Linked DNA regions of Arabidopsis thaliana. The protein of the gene in region 1 interacts with the protein of each later gene in a pairwise test. Each region holds a gene or a part of one and is shown in the gene's direction. Other genes may lie near its edges.

Region 1 (5,439 bases):
AACCATTCCCAAATCAAACTTTTAAACAACTCTCTTTCACTTTTGTTTAATGTTATTTTAGGTGTGAAAAGGCTAATTCTTCTCTGTTCTCTCTAGGTGTTTCATGGATTACACCTTTTATATTACTTTAACCATCTTAGAATTTGCCTTGTTCTTGCATGTGCTATGATTGAATTCAATCAATGGGTGATGAGAAAATTGACCCAATAGAATAATAAATTAACATTGATAATCGTCGAATGGTTCGGTGAGATTTGCACATCCAAATTTTCCACACACAAAAAAGAATGTTATGTTTTTTATAGTCCAAAATCCAGTTGGGTTACATTATCTTACATGTATGTACAAAGTTTTATAATATTAATAAAAAAACAAGCAAAGAGAATTATTGAATGTTTTGATTGTGGTAAAAGCCATGAATCATGGACCTCCACAGTCAATTACTCATTCAATTTCTCTTGGAGCTATTTGTCTCTGCCAGACTCATTTAATGTATTATTTTCATTTGCTTCCACTTTCTCTCATACATGTATTAGTACTAACCATTTTGATTTTTGAGACTTGAACTCTCGGTTAGACATTTTATCCATCCATGCAATTGTGTTTATCGATCAATGATCATCAGTAGGATAATAAAAGGCTTTATTAGTGAATATAGTAAAATTGTTTCACTGATAAAACCTTTTGGAATGTGTTTACTTGATTATTTTGATCAATGATCATAACCTAGGTAGCTTTTTGTATTATTCTTCTAGTCAATATATAGGTAATATAAGCAACTCGTGTGTCTTTGACAAGCTGGTGACTGAATATTATATTTTAATTACCGTCTAATCAAACACTAAACCATTTTTAAAATCGTTAAAGCGAATTTTGGCATATATGCAGAGAATTCCACGTTTTTATAATAATTTAGAGAATGTGCATAAATGAGAAGAAAATGCAAAGCACAATAGGCTACATTTTAAAGGTCAATGACCTCACTTTGTGTGTAGATTTTATTATTTGATTGTTTTTTTCGTTGGGTATAGAAATGTCTGATTTATGTGTGGAATAAAGACGACGACTTTGTTAAATTATAAATTATTAAATTTTGTTCTCTTAATTAATACTCAATCGGCTTTTTCTTATTTTTTTATTATTATGGCTGATACCACGTAAACCACGAGTAAGTATGTAGTACAAATCAATTACTTTCTAATACTACATAAAAATTATATACTAGTACTTAATTTCTTACAAGAAATACATACATCATTTAAAAACAGTATTTGATGTTAATATAAGTAGTTAATAGTAGAATAGCTGATAAAATAACGTGATTTATGTCCACAATTCGTTGATTAAAATATTGAATCCATGGTTGGAAAAAACTGGCGAAATCAGTAATTATTGTCGGCTACCATATAGGGACATGATGGTTTTGGTTCGTCTTCCATGTACACCAAATCAGCAATGAGAAAAAGAAAAATGGGGAAAATAAATAATTCTTGTTATAAATATTATCCTAAGATTTATTATCACTTATTATGGGAGTGAAAAAGAAAACAATAAGAAGGAAAATGAATGGGAAATGGGAGAAAATGTAAAGGAATTAGGGGAATGAAGTCAAAACGGTGGTCCAAAAGACATAACGAAGGACCATTGTAAAATTGTGTGATTTATTTGAAATCAGAAAGTTTAACACGAAACCCTAAAAAAACAAAACAAAAAACAAAAATAGGAATAATAATTATGCTATATGGTCAAAGCTAAGCAGTTGGGCTATTTTCATTTAAATTTATTCGTTTTGGTCTAAAACCTATCGTGAAAAAAGTGAGAAAGTAAAGTTTGAGGTACTGTGGAGGAAACTTCTTCATTTGGGTAAATCCCAAATCCCTATAAGGTAAATATTATGTGTTCTTACAAAATTTGGTTTTTCTATGACAAGTATATTCTTTTGACCAGCTAAGCTAACAAATGTATGTTCAATTGGTTATATATCGATCGGGGCAAGGGTAATACTCGAATCTATGTTCTTTTCATGCAAGTTATGTATGTAGCCTTGTGTAGTTCTCTGGTACGTTGATATGCAATGATTCTCTCGAAAACTATTTAAAAAAATTATTTAAGATAATAATGAATGGGGTCACGAGTCAAGACTAATGTAACCAAAGTCAAATGGATTTTCGTATGATTACTACTTTTGTAACCAAAGTCAAATGGATTTTCGTATGATTACTACAAGCTTGTAGGTCAAAAAACACATGTCACCTCTCTGTTTAGTATAATAAACCAATTTTATAACATCATTCTTTTTATTTGCTAGTTTAATCGTCTAAATAAGTGACCCAACCATAAACCATATCAGATTATGAAATTTTGACTTTACGATAGTTTACGTATCCTCAAATTCCTCACGTATATGTCATGAACAATTCTTAAACAACAAAATTATAACTCTCTTTTAATTAATGTAGTTTTTTCGTAAGAACTCAAATTGATATTTAACAAAAAAAATGAATGAAACATTTCTCAAGTTTTAATAATTATTTTTTGGAATTTTGCAAAACATATATAGAGAGATAATAATAAGTATGAATGAATCCAAAAAGAGACAAAAAGAATAGATGGAAAAAGAGACAGTCATCTTTAAGAAAGAAGCCAAAAACAAAAACTTGCTCTTTTAATCCCAACCCACACACCTCTCAAATCCTCCTCTCCTCGTTTCTCTTTCTCTCCTCTTCACAGAACCAAAACATATCAAACCTTTTTTTCTCTTGGGTTTAAGTAAAAATCGAATCTTTGTGTCGGTTTTTAGGGTTCTTGAAACGATATGGGTAAGTCTAGTGGTAGAAATGGTAACGGAAGCTTTAACGGCAATAAATTTCACGGAGTTAGACCTTACGTACGGTCTCCAGTTCCACGGCTTAGATGGACGCCGGATCTTCACCGTTGTTTCGTTCACGCCGTCGAGATTCTCGGTGGTCAACACCGTAAGTTTATTATACTTTTTTTCTCTTCAAATCTTTTGTGAAAAAAACCAAACTTTTGTGTGTTTGTTTGCTTCAAACATCCTAAAGTTACGATATAACTAGAAAAATTGGACTTTTCTCATTCTTTTGTCTCAATCATCGTAAAAAATCAGTTTTTGAATAAAATCTTCACACTTTTGTTACTTTGTTTCATTCTTATCTTCAAAGTTTGGATTTTTATGCTAAAAAAAAGGTTTGAAGTTTCCTTATTGTGTTGTTTATCTTCATCATCGTAATGAATCATCTTTGTCAAGTTACCGAGTCAAAACCTTCACGCTTTTGTTGTTTTGTTTCATTCATAAAGTTTGAGTTTTTGTTTTTTTTCATAAAGAATCATCATAGTCACCTTTTTGATATTTTGTTGGGTTTGATGAAACAGGAGCAACACCAAAACTTGTTCTTAAGATGATGGATGTGAAGGGACTTACCATTTCACATGTCAAAAGCCACCTTCAGGTAAATAGTAATTAATTTTACCAAAAACATCAATTTTGTTTTCTTCTTTATTCATATTTCATTCATAACACCTTGTTTTGATTGTTTTGAACATATATATAAACAGATGTATAGAGGAGGTTCAAAGCTCACTTTGGAGAAACCAGGTATTATTTTTTTCCTTATAATTATGAAATGAATCAATGATGATATTTGGAAAAAGAATGGGACCGTTGATTTTAATTTGAACTGTTAACATCAAACACATAATAATGGATGGAATTTAATTATTTTACTGTATCTGTTTGTAGTATGTACTATTGGTCTAGTGTCATGATTCATAAGACAAATGTCATAAATACATTTATATATTTTTCAAGAGTAATAGAACAGAAAATAAGAGAATATTCATTAACTAGTTTTTATTGTTTCTTACACAGAAGAAAGCTCATCATCTTCAATAAGAAGAAGACAAGACAGTGAAGAAGATTATTATCTTCATGACAACTTGTCTTTACACACAAGGAATGATTGTCTTTTGGGTTTTCACTCTTTTCCTCTTTCTTCACATTCTTCATTTAGGTATTTATTTTTATTTATAATTGTTTTCTGACAAAGTTTTTTAATTTTATTTCAGTAAAAAAAAAAAAAAAGTGTTTTGCTTTTTTGTTTGTCTGTATTTGAATTGTCCTTTTACTTTGGTGCAGAGGAGGAGGAGGAGGAAGAACAAAAGAGCAGCAGACTTCAGAGTCTGGTGGTTATGATGATGATGCTGACTTTCTTCACATCAAGAAGATGAACGATACGACGACGTTTTTGTCACATCATTTCCCCAAGGTATAAATAAATTTCTCTTTTGTCAACCGGTTTGGAAATTTAATGTTGCAAAACAAAATCAAGTCCGGTTATGAGTTCTAACCGGTCTGATTGAGACTGGTCAAATCCAAAGGGATTGAGTCCGGTTTAAGTACTACTTGTCATTGAATCTAATTAGTTTCATATAAATGGCATTTAACCGGTTTTAGTCCGGTTTGGTAACTAATTTTGTCTTTTGGTTCATTAGGGAACAGAGGAGTGGCGGGAACAAGAACACGAAGAAGAAGAAGAAGATTTGTCGTTGTCTCTGTCGTTAAATCATCATCATTGGAGAAGCAATGGATCATCGGTGGTGAGCGAAACGAGTGAAGCAGCAGTCTCGACTTGTTCAGCACCATTCGTATCCAAAGATTGCTTTGGTTCTTCAAAGATTGATCTTAATCTGTCAATTTCTCTCCTCGGTAGCTAAATAAGTTATGCAAGATTTAGGTTCAGAGAAACTATTCGGATGTGTTTTTGAAACTAGGATATTGAATGTTAGTAGAGAAACCTAGAAAATGAAGTTTAGATAAATTATCAACGCAGCGTTTTGATCGCCTTTGAACGGAAAATTAACAAACAGAGCCAAACGCAGTGTTTTGATCTTTGAAGGATAACCCCTAAACGCAGCGTTTCTATATCAAGATCCTACGGTTTAGAATGTTCATTGTTATTTTGGTCGGCAATCCTACGGTAGAAAAAATAATCTCGCAGATAAAACCCATTAAACGCTGCGTTTCATCGTTGGAGGGTAAACTCATTAAACGCCGCGTTTTACATTCAAAAAACTTGAAACTACCTTATAACCGCCCAGACGATGACCAACGTCGTCAACGTCGGCGAAGATGAATCTATCGAACCGTTTTGGCTCCAATTCCAAGACGGCGATACTCAACGATTCTTACTCCGACGAGAATCATTCTTCCTCCGCCGCCGCCGCCGTAACTTCCGTCGTAATCCCACCGTGCTCCGGCAATGTACTCCGAGCCGTTCTCTTGCTCTTCTTCATCTGCTTCTGCTTCTCCCTCTACAGAACTTCTGGTTATCTCCGAATCGTCTCTGACTCTTCCTCCACCCTCTCTCGCATTTTCCCCTCTGTCAACGATTCTTCTTCGTCTCCGTCTCCATCTCCGTC
Region 2 (4,053 bases), on another chromosome or scaffold:
CATCTTGCTTAATTTTTTTTATATTTCTTACGTTCTCTATTCAAACATATATATAGGAGATTTAGCCTAAGAAAAAAGGTAAAATACAAAAGAGAAAAAATCAGAACTCTTTTTGAAACAAATTAGAAAATTGTCTAAATATCTAGATTTCTCTTAATATGGAATTGGAAAGTAAACTTTTTGCAAAATATTAGATTTAGATAACTTTCACTTGGTAAATTGAGAATAAAGTTTTGTGCAAATTATTGATTTAGATCATTTCCATTTCTATTCTCAATCTCTTTTTGAGCGTTCCAACCAATTACATTGCTGCCCCGAACCAATATAATATTTACAATAGTATCATAGCCGGCTCCAATGGATCGTTGTAATCCATTATGGACCGCCCAACTTCAGCCCACAAAAGAAATTGTCCACACGAAAACGCTCAATAATCTATAAACGGACCATTTGACATATTTAAGTGTTTTGCAAGCCCAAAGTAATCATATTCACTCAACAAAAAGTATAAAAAATCTGAAATTTAATTTAGGTCGTTGCTAAGCTTGTTGTAGGGTACGTACGTTTGGGAGCATTTTAATTAGAATAAGATTAGAAATTTAGAATAGTTTTAATCCTCCGAAACTTTTTGTAGTACGGACTTTTGGGAGCATTTTTATGAGTCGTGCCAATCTTGCAAAAGGACCCATGCAGAGCAACAAATTTGGTTGTGGCATGTCGGTTAGGTAGCCCAAAAGCTTCATTTTATATTAGTTATAAACTTTGCTGTTATATAGTTAGTAAAGTTTAGTCAGTAAAGTAGACTGTTACTTCTTTTAGTACTTTGAATACATCTTATTTACTACAATGTTAACAGTCAACATGGTATAAATTCTATTCCATGTTTTGTTTCAAAGGTTGACATAACGGACGAATTTTAAAATGTAACTATTGTAATAAACAGTAATGAGTATTAACTTGAGTTACTCTATACAATTGTTTGTTTCTTGTGATAACCAAAGCCATCACAATCAAACATTTCACTCTTAAAACAAGGAAACAGTAAGTGCAATGGAAGGTAGGATCCAAGTGCTTCTCTCGCAACGATTGTTTGGTTGATTCTCGTAAAAATGTGAGTATATGAAAGAGGAAGTTAGACCGATGCAATGGTTGCAATGTGAGCATAGTCGAATTTCACCTGCCATGGTGTTTCTTCCTTTTTCATCTTCCCACCGGATTCACTCAAGGCTCGTCGTTTAATCCATTATCGCCTATGTAACCGTCGCTTCTTCACCTGCGGCCACAACCAATGCAACCGCTATAACAAGTTTGTTTTTGATCTCTTTATCGACCATTAAGTCTCTTTATATATTCCTTAAAACTCTATATTGCATTTTGATTTTCTAGTGCGTATAACATTGACGTTACAGTAAAAATTTCTAGTTTTAATATTCACAAGCATGGCTGCTATTTCAATTCAATATAAGTTTTATCATCGTCTACAATAATATATGAATTTTATCATCATATAGAAGAATAACAGAGCTCTGATCACAGACTCACAGCCCTGTAACTCTAGCTAACAAAATTATCTTTTAACTCTCTTCTTTATTAAAAAAAAAGCACTTGCATAGTAGCATTTTAACTGATGTATATGCTTTCCCTAAGCGACACTTGTCCTCATGCATGAAATCAAATTCAATGGACGACCGATTCATCTTGACCGACCACAAAGATCCAACGGCTAGCTGGAGATATACAGGTGTTAATAAATTGTTATATTCCAAAAAAATGGGTTATAATGTGGCAGCTTTTTGATAGTAACACTGATGTATTTCTTACAATAAACGACCAAAAAGTTAATACAAGAAATAGAAACGGTGTAGGAAGCTACTATGACGGCAATTCCAAACGTCGTCGATATTGAATCTTCTTCCTCTTCGCTTTGTCAAGAGACGGCAACGGAGACCGTCACCGTTGAAAGAGGCTCGTCTGATTCATCTTCAAAGCCAGACGACGTCGTTTTACTAATCAAGGAAGAGGAGGATGACGCCGTTAACTTGTCACTTGGTTTTTGGAAATTGCACGAGATAGGTTTAATAACACCGTTCTTGAGAAAGACGTTTGAGATCGTCGATGACAAAGTAACAGACCCGGTTGTATCATGGAGCCCGACCCGTAAAAGCTTTATCATTTGGGATTCTTACGAGTTCTCAGAGAATCTACTTCCCAAATACTTCAAGCACAAGAACTTCTCCAGTTTTATTCGTCAGCTTAACTCTTACGTAAGCACAGAACAAGTTTTTACTCTTTAGCTATGTTTCTTGCTTTACAAGCTTTGTAAAAACTAGAGTTTTTTTGTAGGGTTTTAAAAAGGTCGATTCAGATAGGTGGGAATTTGCTAACGAAGGGTTTCAAGGAGGGAAGAAACATTTGCTTAAGAACATCAAGAGGAGAAGCAAAAACACTAAATGTTGTAACAAGGAAGCGAGTACCACCACGACAGAGACTGAGGTTGAGTCATTGAAGGAGGAACAGAGTCCAATGAGATTGGAGATGTTGAAGCTGAAACAACAACAAGAAGAATCTCAACATCAGATGGTCACTGTGCAGGAGAAGATCCACGGAGTTGATACCGAACAACAGCATATGCTTAGTTTCTTTGCAAAGTTGGCTAAAGATCAAAGATTTGTAGAGAGACTGGTGAAGAAGAGAAAGATGAAAATACAGAGAGAGCTAGAAGCAGCTGAATTCGTGAAGAAGCTCAAGTTGCTTCAGGATCAAGAAACTCAAAAGAACTTGTTAGATGTAGAAAGAGAATTTATGGCCATGGCTGCAACAGAACACAATCCCGAGCCTGACATTTTGGTGAACAATCAAAGCGGGAATACGAGATGTCAGCTTAACTCAGAGGACCTACTTGTTGACGGTGGCTCAATGGATGTAAATGGGAGGATAGAGATAGAGTAGAGCAAAACCGGTAACATAGCAATAGAGAAGGTACCAAATCCCAAGGCTTGAGATCCGAATCCGTAGCGCTTTGTTGTATGGTTTCATGTGTATATAAGCGAAAGGGACTTGTAAAAAGCGACTCAAGGACTTGTAAAAAAGTGTAGCTCTAGTGAAAAGGGACTTGTAAAAAAGTGTAGCTCTGGTTAACTGTTGCCATCGCCTTCCATTACTAATAATTTTTTAACTAGCGAGTAGTGACTTGTAGCATAAAATAGAAGAAATTCATTCAAAGTTTTGAGGGTGAAAAAATAAAAGAACCTGTCAGACCGCCGTGCGACCACCCCGGCAAGGTAGAACCGAGCCGAGTAACGATCCTCTACAGCACCGGATGCGTCCGAGGACGATCGTAGCCGTCAATCACGCTCTAGCCGCACGGTCATGGTTCATCAACCAGGGTTAAGGGCCTGTCTCTTGAGAAATCAAGGAAACAGAGGTACGAGCCTATAGAACAGATCCTGTTCAAGTAAGGTCGTGACCAATGGTGCTTTGTAGCCATATATAAAGCAGTTATTTCTTCACTCGCTTACCGATGTGGGACGCAAAATTCGTAAGAAAAAAGAAATCATAAGCTTATGGGCCTAATTGTATACAAAACCCATATATGTTCAAGCCCAATAGTTAGAGATTATGGTTTTGTTAGGAAAAAGAGTTTTAAATTCAGACGTCATTTCTTCTTCCTCTTTGATCAGTATGCCACGTCATCATCATTCCTCCACGTTATTAAATATATGTATCGATCATCGTCTCTCTCTTTAACAAGCTCCTCTCTCTGATGTGAAGAAGCCATGGAAGAGAAGAAGAAGGAGCTTGAAGAGTTGAAGTATCAATCAGGTTTTGGTAACCACTTCTCATCGGAAGCAATCGCCGGAGCTTTACCGTTAGATCAGAACAGTCCTCTTCTTTGTCCTTACGGTCTTTACGCCGAACAGATCTCCGGTACTTCTTTCACTTCTCCTCGCAAGCTCAATCAAAGAAGGTACATCATCATTTCAATTGTAAGTTTTGGATAATTTCGTTGAATTGATTGATCTTCATCTTGTTTTTTTTTTCAGTTGGTTGTAC
Region 3 (4,081 bases), on another chromosome or scaffold:
GTATTTACCTAAATTCTAATTCAATTGTACCTTGTAATTAGATGGTTAAGACATAAGAAATCAGATACATCTGCCCGAATTAGAGCCTTATGATGATTGGCGGTGCCACATAAAAATTGAACACAAGATAGTGATGCATATGAATGTTTATATTTTAGCCGAATATGAACACAATGTTCGCAACAATTGGTTCCCCATTCTTTATATCATATGCATGTGCCGTGCGTGTTTGTACATATATGAGTAGTTTCTGTATAGTTGAAAAACTGAATAAATTAATGAAGGAGCAATGCATGAAAGAGACATAAGAAGATAAATGATAGGGAAAAAATATGTATATATAAACCTAAAAAGAGGGCCATAGGAATTTATAGAACCAAAGTGCAATGCACTTCGGATCGTCGGTCGACTCATCTCCTTCATTGTCTCCATCCATTTTCCCATTCCCCACTACATTTTTATAGTTATCTCTTCAATGTTTAAAATAATATGTCAAAACAACTCTTTATCAAAACTAAATTTTCGTTACTTCTGGTAGTAAGGATATTTCTAAACGTTATCACATTAGTTATTAATCAAACCTGTGAAAGACATGCTAGGTTACTGAAGAATGATATTAGATACTTGTGTACACTCTATTCTACAACGATCGAAGCTAGTCCCACTTCTGTGTCTCTTTCTTTTTCTGTAAGTGTGATTGCAAAATGCGAAATATTCATGTAAGCACAAGAAACAAGATAGTTATACATTCGCATCACTTTGTATTAATAAATTGTTGAGCCAATTTTGTTCTCTATTTCCTTGTTTTGGTCATGTTGAAATTCAACTCTATGATTGATTACACATTCCGGAGAATATTATTTTATTTTCTTTGAACAAGAAAACATAAAAAAAAAAAAAAACTCAACGGGATACTAAATGATCCAACTCACAAATTTCAACAAAATTAAGAAAAAAAATCGGAAAACCTTTTTAGGAGATGGCAGAAGAATTTAATTAACAAAAGGGAGAGAGGCTTATTGAAAAAAATAAAATTAGTAACCTTGCATTTATTTAATTTCCCCTTCATTACTTGTTTAAATTAATAAAACTATAGACTATGATCTATAATGAGTTTATTGCAAATAAGGCATTTGTCTTAGATATATATTTTATTTTAGGCACTTTTGAAATGATCTTTAGATTTAGGCACTTCTTTCCTGGGGAAAGTCGTTTTTACCCTTACAGAGAGATGATGTTGTTCTTTCTTTGTTGATGAACTTTTACGTTTTACACTAGAAATCAAAAATACTTGCGACCAACACCAACAACTTTGGAGTCATTGATTACAGAGTGATGTCAGCGACGATTGGAAATTCAGACGACTAACAATCGGTCCTCATGAGATGTGAATGCGATCTAGATTTTTAACATCCCACATTTTGAGATCTGGAAAAAAAAAACAAGAAACAAAAAAGTCCCACGATTTAGTATTACGATTTGCACGTTTTTTTGTTCAGTGATTTTTGTGCAGGTTAAGGAATTCAAGAAGTGATTGATACTTTGTTGATTGCTCAATTGATGTTCATAATCATGTCTACAAGTACATTGATTTTTGTTCATGTTAATGGTGTTTGATGATAATGAGGATGGTTGTAGTGTTGTGTTATTGTGTGTATGTAAGAATTGCATACTCTATATTTGACGGTTTGGGTTTACAAGTCTAATTCTAGGGTATAGCGTTTACCATTGACGCCGTTCGTTACCCCTCGTTGTCAAAGCCGTGAACCACCACCAAATCTTTGTGCTATCGTCAAAGCTTCATGCCTACCGTCGAAGCTGCAAGTCCACTATCTAAGCCATATATCTTTGGATGTCAAAAGAAACTTAAAATTGAATCAGAGATGGGGATACAATTTTTAGAAGATAAACACATTCTTTTCACCTCATTCTCAACTCCAGTTCATAGTTTAAGGGCAAAAATGTCCGTAACAATAAAAATTGAAGTATTATATGCTTTTACTGTTTAGAGTGTCTGTTTTGAAAGAAATGTTTTCAAAATGCTTGTTTAGAATATAAGCTCGATCTATAATATATGCGTTTTTAAAAAAAGACTAGTATATGCATTATGTAATTCATGGTTAATTAATCCTCTGGTAAGTAAATTAAATAGCACATGCATGTTCAAAGAAAAATGTAGACAAATATATTAAAGTGGATAAATAAATAGAAAAAAAGGGAGTGGTCAGGTCAGTCTCGGTGCATGCTAACTCTATGCACGTTCTCATCTTCGTCTCTTTCCTCACTTACACTAATTCTCTCTCTCTATATTAAACCTCTGAACCAGTGACCACATACATACTCAGTAAGCGAGTCCGAGTCAACAATGGACGTCTACGGCATGTCTTCACCGGACTTGCTTCGTATCGACGACCTTCTCGATTTCTCCAACGACGAAATCTTCTCTTCCTCTTCCACCGTCACTTCCTCCGCCGCTTCCTCCGCCGCTTCTTCCGAAAACCCTTTCAGCTTTCCTTCTTCCACCTACACTTCTCCTACTCTCCTCACCGACTTCACTCACGATCTCTGCGTTCCCGTACGTTTTCAAATTTCAATTTACCCTAATTTTGATTTTGATTTTGAATTTCTAAGTTCTGATTTTGAGTTTTGCAGAGTGACGACGCAGCTCATCTCGAATGGTTATCGCGATTCGTTGACGATTCATTCTCCGATTTCCCAGCAAATCCTTTAACCATGACCGTTAGACCCGAGATTTCATTCACCGGAAAACCTAGAAGTCGCCGATCAAGAGCACCAGCACCTTCCGTAGCTGGAACTTGGGCTCCGATGTCTGAATCAGAGCTTTGTCACTCCGTCGCTAAACCTAAACCGAAGAAAGTCTACAACGCTGAATCGGTTACGGCGGATGGAGCGAGGCGGTGCACGCACTGTGCCTCGGAGAAAACGCCACAGTGGAGAACTGGACCGCTTGGACCTAAAACACTTTGTAACGCTTGTGGAGTTCGTTACAAATCAGGGAGGCTTGTACCGGAATACAGACCGGCGTCGAGTCCGACGTTTGTATTGACTCAGCATTCGAACTCTCATCGGAAAGTTATGGAGCTCCGGCGACAGAAGGAACAACAAGAATCTTGCGTTCGAATTCCGCCGTTTCAGCCGCAGTAAATTTGGGGGTTTTCTTTTCAAGGGTTTTTGTGATTTGGTGACGTGTCGTAATCTTAACGGTGATGATCACGTGACCGACGGGAGGGGTTAAGGACTTAATTATCAGTATTAGTTTAAAGTTTGCAAATCTCTGCTAATTAATTTGTTGGTAATTTCTATTGATTTTTTTCTTGCTTTTGTTTATTGGTCTCACGGCTCTCCTTAAAGTTATATCATTAAATGATTTCATTGGCGGCATTTAATTTTCCTCTTTTCAGATATAAAAGCTTCTCAACCACCATGGACTCTGCTTTTTGTGACTTATGATGTTATATCACACATGACAATGCTGGTTAATCTTCATACATACATCATACATGTTACATGCTTGAGAATTTGAGTTTTTGGCATTTCACGAGGCAATTCAGTTTACTACTTTCTTAAAAAATAGTAACCTAAGCCATACCAAACCTAACTCTCTCTGGTTTAGGCTATTCAAATCTAACAATTTTTCGCTTTATTCCATCTGAACCAAAAATTACCAATACTCTTATACAAAGTGCTTAAACCTCTTATAAATAAACTAAACTGGTTAGGCGGTAACACCGAAACAGAACAAACAAATGATCTGAAAATTGAACCATAATGTGGTGTATAGTGTCACCGTTATTCAAATCCAGAACCCCGACAGACCGAATCCTAATAGAAACCAAAGCAAGGTCTTAACATTAAGATATCGAACCAGAAATACCATACAAAACTAATCTAATTTGGTTAATTTTCCGCTTAAACTATCAACTAAACCAAGCCAAGAAAAAAGAGGATCAAATATATGTATAAAGAAAGACAAAAATTCAAATATCAAGAAACTGCAAAAATGTTGAGGTCAATTGAGACTACTCAAGAAAACAACAACAAAACTCAAAACATGAATGAA
Region 4 (3,776 bases), on another chromosome or scaffold:
TTGGTGTGCCCTGATCCAAGGATTATCACTGTGTGTCTGGAAGGATTGGAGAACATTTTGAAAGTTGGGGAAGCTGAAAAGGTCACAGGAAATACCGGGGATGTAAACTTTTATGCACAGCTGATCGATGATGCTGAGGGATTAGAAAAGATTGAGAATCTGCAGAGTCATGACAACAGCGAAATCTATGAGAAGGCAGTGAAGATTCTTGAAACGTACTGGTTGGAAGAGGAAGATGAAACTTTACCACCTGGTGATCCCTCTGCACAAGGCTTCCAGTTTGGAGGAGGTAATGATGCAGCCGTACCACCAGGTGGATTCAACTTCCAGTGAAGGTAAAAAAACCTCACTACTTGGGACTAATTTATCTAAGCATCTAAGGCTAGACTAGCAAACAGAGTAAATCTGCCTGTGTGTCTACCTTGTGTGAATCTGTGAGTCTGGTTTTGCTTCCACAGGAGCTGAACATGACGATTTGAAGAGTCGAAGGAGCTTAAAGAGTTTGGGGGCACTGGTTAAAAAGGGTATGATTAGAGAGTCTGGTCTTCTGTGTAAAAGTCAGATGGGGTGCCTTACTTAGTCTGGCCTGGTCCGGTCAGATCCAGTGGTTGGTGGGTTTGAGTCATGGAATAAGCTTGTTGGGGGGGAGTTGGGTAGGAGTCATCAAGGGATATTTATTTTTGGGAAAGGGTTTATAAGTTTTTAAAGTGTGATCTGATGAGAATGTGTCTCTCTGGGTTTTTGTTACATTTGTACTACACAACACTGCAAAGTCAAACATAAAAAAGTTGGTCAAACTTTATTTGGTCTTATTGGTGACATAAAAGCCCAATTGGTTCGTCTCTTTATTGTTTATAGTAAATGTTTTTTTTTATAATCTATTTTAGTGCGGTCCAAGTCATTTTGGGCTATTGTCTACATATGCACGCGTATCTAGTTTCAACATATTTCCATTAATCGATGTTATTAATGGTTATCGTCAACTTCAAGTAGGGAGGGTTTCAATAATAAAAAAATCCTATGTTTTGTTCAATCCCTGTCGTTTATAAGCGTAGGTATGCCTTGGACCCAAAAGAACTCAAATATTCATAAGTCGATTACACAAATTTAAATAAGATGAAATTGACCAAAAAGAGAGATGTTTTGTAATTTTCATACAAAAAAAGTTGCACTACACGAGCATGTCTTCGATATACCTAATATTATTACATAAATTTTTCGTATTTCATTGTGAAGAATTACACAAAATATCTAAAAGACTGGTAAAAAATGCATGCATATCTCTAAGCCCAATTAGGGAAATCTAACGTGGCAAACAACCACAACGAGTAAATCCAATGTATTTCGTGCGCCAGGTTTTGAATTAAAATTTCAAATTTGGTACCAAAGCAAGCAAGATACCAAAAAACCCCCTTCCACAAGATCTTTGTTACAAGTTGTTGTTGTAAAATGATTTTCCCTCTTCTTTTTTCAGTTTGTGGTTGTTTTATTTTTTGGCGGGTGGTTCTATAGTAATAAAACACCGCGCTCGAGGGTAAAAAAGTAATTAAGAAAGAGAAATCTAGGGTTTATTAGTCCCCGCCTCCTCCTTTATTATAAAAACCCTCTCCGTTTGTTTTATCCGTTATTCTTCTGCGGCGTCTCTCTCTCTTCCTTATCATCATCATCTTCACTCTAAACTTCACAGAGAGCCATTCAAGCAGAAGAAGAGCTCTTTGATCCTTCTCTGCCATTTCCGTTACTCTCCTTTCTTCTGTTTCAGAGTTTTCTATTCTTCTCAATCCTATCTCGCTTCGAAGTGGATCAATGTGAGTTTCCATGATCGTTTTTGATCCTTCTCTTACTTGTAGTTGATGATCACGTTTAATAATTGTCTTTTTCTTTTGTAGATGTCAATGACGGAAGAAACCAAGACGACGAAGCTCGAATCGGCGGGAGATTCGTCCGATGTAGACAACGGGAACTGTAGTAGCAGTGGAAGTGGAGGTGATACGAAGAAGACATGCGTTGATTGCGGAACAAGCAGGACTCCTCTTTGGCGTGGTGGACCTGCTGGCCCTAAAGTAAGGATCATGATCTCTCTCTACCATTTTCTTTTAAACCCTTAAAAATCCAAGCTTTAAGGTCTCATGTGTTAGATCTAGTCAAATAGGTACTTGAATCCACTTAAAATGTAGGTTGATCTTGTGTGCTTAGCTCTGTTGCTAGTGGGTTTTGTCTCATTGATGTGATCATGTGTATACATAGTCTAGGTATGCGAGGTTTGTGTCAATCTGTGGTTGATATTTAAATTTGTTATGTGATCTCTATGTTTTGTTTTGATTCTGTGTTTGAAGCCTTATTACTAATTGATCAGGTTAAGATTATTGTTACACTGTTTTTATGATGCCTTTTTTACTAAGAGATGGTTATGTCTCTTTAATTTTAGATCTGTTTGATGATTGTTCACTATTTGTTCTCTGGTCTGATCATGGATTGACTTTGTTTGCAGTCATTGTGCAATGCGTGTGGTATCAAGAGCAGAAAGAAGAGACAAGCAGCTCTTGGAATTAGACAAGATGATATTAAAATCAAGAGCAAAAGTAATAACAATCTTGGTCTTGAGAGCCGAAATGTCAAGACCGGAAAAGGCGAACCAGTTAATGTTAAGATTGCCAAATGTGAACCGGGAATTGTCAAGATTGCCAAAGGTGAACCAGGAAATGTCAAGAACAAAATCAAGAGAGATCCTGAGAATTCCAGTAGCAGCAATAATAACAAGAAGAACGTGAAAAGGGTTGGTAGATTTTTGGATTTTGGGTTTAAGGTACCGGCGATGAAGAGATCGGCTGTGGAGAAGAAGAGGCTATGGAGGAAACTTGGGGAAGAGGAACGAGCCGCAGTACTTCTCATGGCTCTTTCTTGTGGTTGAGATTTTGTCTCTTAACCCTTTTTTTTTGATGTGTCGTAATGGTTGAGTGAAAGAGATTAGGGAAAATAAGTTAGTGAGGAAATGATGAAGAGAGGATTATTAATCCTACTTATCATATATATTAGTTAATGTAATTTTAGAGGCAAGCTAATGTTATATGCCATCTACTAATTAATTATCGTATGAACTCTGGTTTAGTTGATTAATGATCATTTCTTTGAAGTTGAATGATTTGTAATATGTCTCTATTCTTAATTGTTCGCTTAAAGGTGGCTTAAAATGATCTTTTATTAGTTCCAAAATTGTGAATTTTAAGGATCTTTTTGTCACTACTACTCGCTAGTAACGATTTGTTTGAGTAAACTCTAATGGTCAATCAATTGATAAAGAGTCTTTTATTTTTAAAAACTATTATGAATTAGAAAGGAAACCTAATGTGAATTTTGAAAATTTTGCTCCAAAATAAAGTCCAGCTGTTCATATATTGGATATCTCGACCTCCACGCGATCTTGAAGCGCGTGATCTCAGAACGAGACAGCTATAAACAGCTCATGAGTTTTGGGCTTTTCGTTGATGATTATAATAAAAACAGATTTTTTTTATTACAAAAAAAAAAATAAGAGCCGGTGATGGAGACAATTGGGTCTCTCTTCTCATTTTATTGCGATTCTTTTTTTTCTTTTTTTTCACGTCCTTTTTTTTTACAACAAAAGGTTATAAAACATTTTTCTGGCTTCCAAAATTAAAAGATATTATTCTCTTTATATTTTTAGATATTTATTTATTTAATTGGTAAACTCTAAAACGATTATATATAAATTTCTCTAGCATGTCGTCCTGTCGTCTAAAATATGGAAGGATAAT

The links.
Region 2: the proteins of AT2G02060 (region 1) and HSFA9 interact in a two-hybrid assay, tested with the Arabidopsis thaliana proteins (one large-scale study listed by BioGRID).
Region 3: the proteins of AT2G02060 (region 1) and GATA4 interact in a two-hybrid assay, tested with the Arabidopsis thaliana proteins (one large-scale study listed by BioGRID).
Region 4: the proteins of AT2G02060 (region 1) and AT4G16141 interact in a two-hybrid assay, tested with the Arabidopsis thaliana proteins (one large-scale study listed by BioGRID).

The regions. Positions count from the first base shown.
Region 1 is NC_003071.7:492,876-498,314, forward strand, and holds AT2G02060 (Homeodomain-like superfamily protein), read left to right. Parts: upstream 1-1,869; 5' UTR 1,870-1,885; intron 1,886-2,505; exon of another isoform or gene 2,506-2,800; 5' UTR 2,801-2,815; coding exon 2,816-2,975; intron 2,976-3,169; exon of another isoform or gene 3,170-3,207; intron 3,208-3,393; coding exon 3,394-3,470; intron 3,471-3,576; coding exon 3,577-3,616; intron 3,617-3,889; coding exon 3,890-4,031; intron 4,032-4,156; coding exon 4,157-4,286; intron 4,287-4,512; coding exon 4,513-4,734; 3' UTR 4,735-4,903; downstream 4,904-5,439. Other genes in the region: AT2G02061 (Nucleotide-diphospho-sugar transferase family protein), read left to right, coding at 5,150-5,439.
Region 2 is NC_003076.8:21,942,144-21,946,196, forward strand, and holds HSFA9 (heat shock transcription factor A9), read left to right. Parts: upstream 1-1,839; 5' UTR 1,840-1,874; coding exon 1,875-2,264; intron 2,265-2,343; coding exon 2,344-2,949; 3' UTR 2,950-3,281; exon of another isoform or gene 3,282-3,359; 3' UTR 3,360-3,508; downstream 3,509-4,053. Other genes in the region: AT5G54067 (B3 domain protein), read right to left, coding at 1-3; HGO (homogentisate 1,2-dioxygenase), read left to right, coding at 3,777-3,967, 4,044-4,053.
Region 3 is NC_003074.8:22,370,983-22,375,063, forward strand, and holds GATA4 (GATA transcription factor 4), read left to right. Parts: upstream 1-2,030; 5' UTR 2,031-2,365; coding exon 2,366-2,575; intron 2,576-2,652; coding exon 2,653-3,165; 3' UTR 3,166-3,572; downstream 3,573-4,081. UniProt on the Arabidopsis thaliana protein: Transcriptional activator that specifically binds 5'-GATA-3' or 5'-GAT-3' motifs within gene promoters. May be involved in the regulation of some light-responsive genes.
Region 4 is NC_003075.7:9,131,007-9,134,782, reverse strand, and holds AT4G16141 (GATA type zinc finger transcription factor family protein), read left to right. Parts: upstream 1-1,621; 5' UTR 1,622-1,808; intron 1,809-1,889; coding exon 1,890-2,063; intron 2,064-2,491; coding exon 2,492-2,911; 3' UTR 2,912-3,251; downstream 3,252-3,776. Other genes in the region: IMPA-2 (importin alpha), read left to right, coding at 1-333.